Caenorhabditis elegans: one gene and its partner. Each later gene encodes a partner of the first gene's protein in a complex. Each region holds a gene or a part of one and is shown on either strand. Other genes may lie near its edges. The genes, in order: csc-1 and air-2.

Region 1 (3,611 bases):
AGTTTTGCCGCCAAAATTTCACGAGTAGCCGTTTTAATACATGCACTATCGAATCGCATAGGTCTCATATGCAAGTCCGATGGGAACCTTCTGACGGTTCCCTAGTTAGCTGGTGCACTATGAAATTCCTAACACACCCTCGATGCAGTACTAGTTTATTACTTAACAATTCCAGCTGAAAACTTAATAATACAGATTATTCAACAACTTGGATTATCAGCTGCTTTTGACTGTTCTTGAAGATTTTCACATTGGTATCTTTACTGGTGACAATCACTTGTTCCCTGAAACTTTCTTTTTCAAATAAATTCAAATAACTACTACCTCTTACCTATCTTCCACACTCCTTTGCACTGAACTTGCTTCAAACCTATTATCAATCGCCTGATTAACCAGCTCAAACTTCTCACGGAACACGAAAAGTGTCAAGGTGGTGCCCATCGGTTTTTTGTCCTGAATCCAGTTTTCGCAGAGATTTACAACTTTCGGGGAGGTCATATTATAATCTAAGAATATCCAAGGAGATTGGAGATTTGAAATCGCGCGAATCGGAATTGCACGTGATGATTTTATACACAGCTTCTTGGCTGAATATATCTGGAAGGAAACAACAAATTTCTGTGAATTTTCAAATTTCAGACTCTACCACAGGCTCCGCCAGAATCAAGTAATCCATTCCAACAAAATCCACCTCCGCCGTCTCGAACGGGCGAGCTCGGAGGCAATCAAACCAGGTCGTGTAGTCATATCTCAGGGATTCAATCCGCATTCTTACAAAAATGTGTCGAATATTCAATTGGCAGCACGCCTCGAGACCATATGGATGATTCTGCAAACGCACGACGGTCTCGTCACGACAAAATTTCGTTAATTGATAAAAGGTGTGCGCCTTTAAAGAGCACTGTAATTGAAAACTTTCGTTGCTCACGCGGGATCCTGGCCTTGCTCATTGAATTTTTCGCGCTCCATTGATAATCTCCCGCTGGACAACGCGTGGGAAAGTCGTGTACTCCACACGGACACGTACATTTCGTTTTACAACTAAAACCGAGCCGCGACGCGACACGCAACGCACCTTAAATCTACCCCAGATATGGCCGAGCCAAAATGGACTAGTTCGGCCTAAACTCTTCCATTTCAATTTATGAGGGAAGCCAGAAATCTGTGAAAACTAGAAGAAAATAATTAAAAACCCCAAATTTCCAACAAATTATAGAAAAAACTAGATAACACAAAAATTTGTAATTACAGTACTCTTTAAAGGCGCACACATAATCGCGTAAGAATTACCAGAATTTGCAGTGTATGAATACTTGTTCCTGGTCGATTTAAATAGAAATCCACCAATTTCCGAAAGGTTTCAGTCTGTGAATCTTCAGGACTTGCAATTAAAATTCCGAATTGTTGAACTCCACCGAATAAAACGTTGGCGCCAAGCTGAGCAGTTTGAATATTGAAATTATATTTTTTATCAATCGAAAAGTGCCAGTCCTCCCTTGTTGTATCGATTTTTATACAATTAAAGTGATAGGGAAGCTTTTTTTCAAGCTTGCGAAATATCGAGTTGAAATTTGCAAGATGGCTTCTGTAATCGTGTTTTCAAATGGATTCTAAAATAAAACCCACTTCTTGTCAAATGATAAATATTTGAATATGCATGGGACGCTTTCAGAATACATTTTAAGCTGAAATATTATCAATAATTGCAGCAAAAAAGGCAAAATTGCGAAATTTCTTGCTACGAAATTTTCTTCAGTGAAAATTAATTGTTCTAGTTGGTATCAAGTGTATGCAAATGGAAAAACGGTAAAAAATATATTTCAAATCATGTTTTCATAAGTTTGTCTTTATAAATCTTTATTCCAGACCTGTTTCCTTCTTTTGCGCGTGGGGTACGGTACGCAGTCCGCAAACACCGAATGCGAGCGCGAAAATTTTTCGATTAATTTTATAATTTTTTCCGCCATTTTTCTCATTTTCCACGCATTTTTCGATTTCTTTTGTGATTTTTACCTTAAAAAAGTTAATTTTCACGTTAATTTCCCTCAAAAATTCGATTTTCTCCGATTATTTCTCATTATTTTCTTCAGAATGCCACCACGCAAGATCAAGAAGGACCCGGCTGTGGTTGCGATGGCGGATACTCTCGAGACGCGTGGTAAGCTTGAAGATCTCCAGTAATTTATTATATTTAAATAATTTATTTTCCAGTCAAGGACTTACTCGAGGAGTATAAGAAGAAGCTGCGGGAGGTCGCCCTTCAGACAGCAAAGGCTGAATCCGACCGGATCATCGCCACAATCAAGCCAAAATACAGGGATATGCCGATCATGGAGTTTCTGGCATCGCCACCGGATGATTTCTACATTGAATCCGGCGAGGAGGAGGAGGAAGGAGAAGCGGCGGTGGCGGTTAAGCAGGAGCTTCCTTCCGAGCCTGACATGGAAATCGACGACGCGGCGGCGGCGCAAAAGACGAGCATTCCGATTGGCCAGAACTCGTAAGTTTTCAAAAAAATCCAAATTTCCGCCATTTACTTTTATCAATAAATTTTCCAGCGGCCGGAACACGGTGCAGGTCAAGCAGGAGCCTGAAATCGACGACGATGCGGCGCATGAGACGAGCATTCCGATTGCTCCATCTGGCCAGAACTCGTAAGTTTTCAACAAAAAAAAAATCGATTTCTCAATAAATAAATTAATTTTTTTTCAGCGGCAGGAACACGGCGGCCGACGAGCACCGCCGCAACGAGATCATAACGCCAGCTGGACAAGTGCTCCCACTGCCAACACTTCAACCGGAAAAGCCATTCCGTGCTCCACACGTTGACGAGGAAATCGCCTTCTCGGTGAACGGATCGCCACTGGTCTTGGCTGGAAGAACTACTGCTACTGCTGCTGGCAAGGAGAATCGGAAGAAGTCGAAGAAATCTGGTGCGGCGAGCAAGAAGGCAGCGGCAGCAGCCGGGCCTCTCCAGCCGGAAACTGAAAATGCCGGGACGTCTGTATAGGAAAAATCCCCCGATTTAATTTTTCCCCCGCTTTAATTTTTATAATGATCTGTAAATACTTGATATTTCAATTTTTCCCGTCTTTTACCTTTTATATGCAAATTTTTTGATCTCAACGATCGTTTGATTCTCTAAATAGACTGCAAAAAATTTGACTGCAAAAAATCGAAAAAAAATTAGTTTTTTTTCAGAGAAAATCGGAAAGAAAACTTCCAGCCTTCTTGTACTACTCTTGGACAACTGTGAACTAGTTATTTAAACAGTTTTTGACAAGAATCCGCGATTTTGTTCAACTTACGCTAATTCTTTTTGTGTTTTACATCAGCGGTGGACGCCAAACTGTCGGAATTGAAGATTTCCGGCAAATCTGTAATTTGCCGGAATTGAATATTTGCGGCAAATCTGTAATTTGCCGGAATTGAATATTTGCGGCAAATCTGTAATTTGCCGGAATTAAATGTTTCCGGAACATCGGCAAATTGCCGGTATTAAATGTTTCCGGAACATCGGCAAATTGCCGGAATTGAGTATTTCCGGTAATTCGGCAAATTGCCGGAATTGAGTATTTCCGGCAAATCGGCAAATTGCCGGAATTGAAATT
Region 2 (3,967 bases), on another chromosome or scaffold:
AACTTCATTCAAAAGATCCAAAAGTCGATTGACATCAGGTAAATGGGAGAAAAACTCGAGATCATAGGTCCCGTCTTCAGAGAAAAGATCTGCTTTTGACAGACAGTTTACTTGTGGCATCTCCATTGTTACCATTGTCGCTGAAATTGAAGCTTTTTAATGAATATAATTTTAATTTGTTCCTTTCAGCCACACAAAATTTAAAGTGGTTCCGAATTTCAATTTTTTCCATCTAAAATCAAATAAATAACAAAAATAGGTTTCAGATTAAATGAAAGTTTTATGTGCCAGAAAGATATTGCATTTCTTAGCCAGAAATACATAAAGGCCCATGGAGTTTCAAAATTGTACAGAACAAAAATAAATTTTCATTTTTTGGAGGAAATCAGCTGAATTATATTTGGAAATTTCGGGTCGAGAGACAAGAAAAGTATTTCAATTTTTTTTTAATCTTAATGAACTCTTACCTAATGTGGATAATGCAACAGAAATGAATTTCGATGGGTCACTGCAGTAAAGTGAATCGGCAAGATGTAAGGCACATAGTCTAACACCGGATTTTTCCAAAAAGCGGATAACTTTCCATAGTTCGCCTTCGCTTTTGTATAGTTCCAACTGTCCGGGACAATCAATTATCAGATATTTCTTGTGATTCGCTTCGATTTTCTGAAAAAAGATTTAATTGAATATTAAAACTACAAAGAGGTTAAAAATGATTTCCGATTTTCTCGATTCAAATTTAGAGAATTCCAGATTTTAGCTCAATTGTTGTGAAAACAATTTTTAGCTTTTGAGAATTAACTTTTTCTGCCAAAAAAATTACCTGGAGGAGCCAATTACAATTAGCTCCAAGTGTTTCAATACAGTATTTGAGAGCTCCATTTGGTCCAAGTCCAAGTCGATCCATTACATCATTCACAGTGATCATTTCCTAAACTTTAGTATTTTAAATGAAAAATATGACCTTAAGTATTAAAATAACATTGATAGATGATCTGTACCACGTTTCATAATTATTGTCCTATATTCATTGGAATAAAATACTTACAGTGATATTTACATCAGGTGCGTATGCCATTGTGTCATTAGCAGGATCAAGATTGATAGTGAGAAATGGTCGTTTGGTTTGTGAGAAAATGTCCGTTAATCCTGCACAAAATGTAGATTTTCCAGCTCCAGGAGCTCCAATTACAAGAACTCCGTACATAGTCCAATGAGTACTGAAATTTTCTAGTTGAATCTTAATTTTCTACGGATTGTTTTGATAGGAAAACATTTAAGAAGAACAAAAATATATAAATACAATTTAATTTAATTTAAAACAAACAAAAAAGCAGGATAAACGGGCCTGGCACAGGGCCAAGTACGCATTTACACCGTACATGACGACATATTGCGGACCATTGCATTTTGCCGCGTTAATTTTTTATTTAAACGGCTTGCATTTCTCCTTACTATCCAGCTGACAATTTTTAGTTTCTTTAGAATTATTTGCAATCAAAACTCGTTTTTTGTAAACATATTTACTCAGGTAATGTGTTGATTTCTCACTTTTTTTTGAAATCAAAGCAGAATTAGTCCTATTTTTATTCTACATAAATATCTAAATGTATTCAATTAAAAATTGGGCCATTGAACTTCTAATTAATTCAATTTATAAATTTATCGTGATGTTTTCTTTTAGTTAATTTGTCCTTAATCGTGCCGTCTATTTTATTTCTTCATAAAAAACTTTTCAGTTCCGACATGGAGAATAAGCCACCTGTAATCAACCTTCCAGAGAAGGAAACTGTGAATACTCCACAGAAGGGAGGGTAAGAAATCAAGGTTTTAAAAGTTTATAAATTATTCTTGATTTTACAGAAAATTTACTATTAACGATTTCGAGATCGGAAGACCACTGGGAAAAGGAAAATTCGGCAGTGTTTACCTGGCTCGCACAAAAACTGGACATTTCCATGTAGCGATCAAGGTAACATATTGATTTATTTTGTATTTATTTGAATTATCATTTTTCTGACATCCGTTTTACCCATACATATTTTCAGGTTCTATTCAAATCGCAACTCATCTCAGGAGGCGTCGAGCATCAATTGGAGCGTGAAATTGAGATTCAATCTCATTTGAATCACCCGAATATTATCAAGCTCTACACATATTTTTGGGATGCGAAGAAGATCTATCTCGTTTTGGAATATGCCCCCGGAGGCGAAATGTACAAGCAATTGACAGTGAGCAAGAGATTCTCAGAGCCAACAGCTGCAAAATATATGTATGAGATCGCAGATGCTTTGTCATATTGCCACAGGAAAAATGTGATTCATCGCGACATTAAACCGGAGAATTTGCTTATCGGATCACAAGGAGAATTGAAAATTGGAGATTTTGGATGGAGTGTTCATGCTCCTTCGAATAAGTGAGTTTATCCTCAAATTTAGGAAATCTAGATGTTTCCAAAAATTCACTGTCATGTTTTCAGGCGCCAAACAATGTGCGGAACAATGGACTATCTCCCTCCTGAAATGGTGAATGGAGCCGATCACAGTGACGCAGTTGACTTATGGGCAATCGGCGTTCTCTGCTATGAGTTTCTCGTTGGAAAACCCCCATTCGAGCACGAAGATCAGTCCAAGACATATGCGGCAATCAAAGCGGCACGGTTTACTTACCCTGATTCTGTGAAGAAGGGTGCACGAGATTTGATTGGAAGATTGCTTGTCGTTGATCCCAAGGCTCGCTGTACGCTTGAACAGGTTTGTTATTGATTTCAGCTTAGTGGCCAACATATTATCAGCACACAGAAGTACACTTTTGTAGTGTTCTTAATTATCATAATTCATTAAATTATTACAGGTGAAGGAACACTACTGGATCCAGGGAATGATGGAGGCAAAAATTAGAGCTGAGAAGCAGCAAAAGATTGAAAAAGAAGCAAGTCTTCGGAATCACTGATCAACTACTGATTTTCCCGTCCTTCTTTCAATCATCTCGTCTGTCTGTCAAATAAAGGATCTCATCACATTTACTAGAAATTTTAAAAAGTGAAATAACTTGTCAACCAATTTTTCATGTAGTTTTTGTTTCGCGAACTCTATTATTCCCAATCGTCTAACCCCATTCATTCAACATAAATTTATTTTCTTTTCTCGTTCTCCATCTTTCTCAATATATCTACAACAACTCAATTAGTACCTCCCGAGATTTTCTCCTTTTTCAGATGTCGCGTAGACTCGCACTCGGAGCAGCTGCTTCTTTTCGTTGAGGTTCATTTGCATTTTTAGATTTTTGAGAAAAAAAAAAAAATAAAATTTAAAAGCGACAAGAAAATTTCGATTTTCTTTAGGATTATTTTATCACACCGTGCGACTTTATAGTCCCAAAAGGAAAAATAACAACTAAGCTTAGTACTGAGTACACTTGAAATTTCAAAACATGAGGTTTTTGAAATTCACGTGCTCCAACAATTTCAAGCACTTCTTGTGCCCTTTTTAAGTCCTCGAAAACTTATAATTTTTTCAGTAAGTGGTGCGGGGACATTTTCAAAAAGTTGTTTTTCTCAAACAAAGCATATTTCACAAGATGTCATTCTGGACAACAAAAAATTAAATTAAATTTTTAAATTACAGGGAACTTTTACCGATTAAGCGCGGGCGGTGTAATTATAGGTTTCGATGATGTGGTACTTTGGCTATAATTTAGTTATACAACTAGAATTTTCTAATTTTTTTATTTTCTTTCGAGATTTCTGAGAACACATTTTTATTTGAGAACTCATGCTAATTGCTGAACCGTTTTCTCCGATTTCTTCAAAAATCTCACATTTTTTGTCTGATTAAGAAAATTAAAGTTTCATTTTTCACTTGTGAATAACGCATCTTTTGAAATCAGAATGCAATCGCGCTCCAACGCCAAATAGAAAGACTCCGCCCCGATAATTTGGGTCTCGTTAGGTATTTGCGGAAAATAC

The links.
Region 2: csc-1 (region 1) and air-2 share a complex: the UniProt entries of both Caenorhabditis elegans proteins name them as parts of the CPC complex.

What each region holds. Positions count from the first base shown.
Region 1 is NC_003280.10:13,594,865-13,598,475, forward strand, and holds csc-1 (Chromosome segregation and cytokinesis defective protein 1), read left to right. Parts: upstream 1-2,090; 5' UTR 2,091-2,091; coding exon 2,092-2,158; intron 2,159-2,211; coding exon 2,212-2,500; intron 2,501-2,558; coding exon 2,559-2,654; intron 2,655-2,712; coding exon 2,713-3,010; 3' UTR 3,011-3,083; downstream 3,084-3,611. Other genes in the region: fbxc-23 (FTH domain-containing protein), read right to left, coding at 197-284, 332-597, 647-829, 1,291-1,585, 1,627-1,679. UniProt on the Caenorhabditis elegans protein: Component of the chromosomal passenger complex (CPC), a complex that acts as a key regulator of chromosome segregation and cytokinesis during mitosis.
Region 2 is NC_003279.8:5,935,738-5,939,704, forward strand, and holds air-2 (Aurora/IPL1-related protein kinase 2), read left to right. Parts: upstream 1-1,739; 5' UTR 1,740-1,746; coding exon 1,747-1,814; intron 1,815-1,863; coding exon 1,864-1,972; intron 1,973-2,048; coding exon 2,049-2,416; intron 2,417-2,479; coding exon 2,480-2,753; intron 2,754-2,853; coding exon 2,854-2,952; 3' UTR 2,953-3,139; downstream 3,140-3,967. Other genes in the region: B0207.6 (GPN-loop GTPase 2), read right to left, coding at 1-140, 468-666, 824-931, 1,049-1,207. UniProt on the Caenorhabditis elegans protein: Serine/threonine-protein kinase component of the chromosomal passenger complex (CPC), a complex that acts as a key regulator of chromosome segregation and cytokinesis.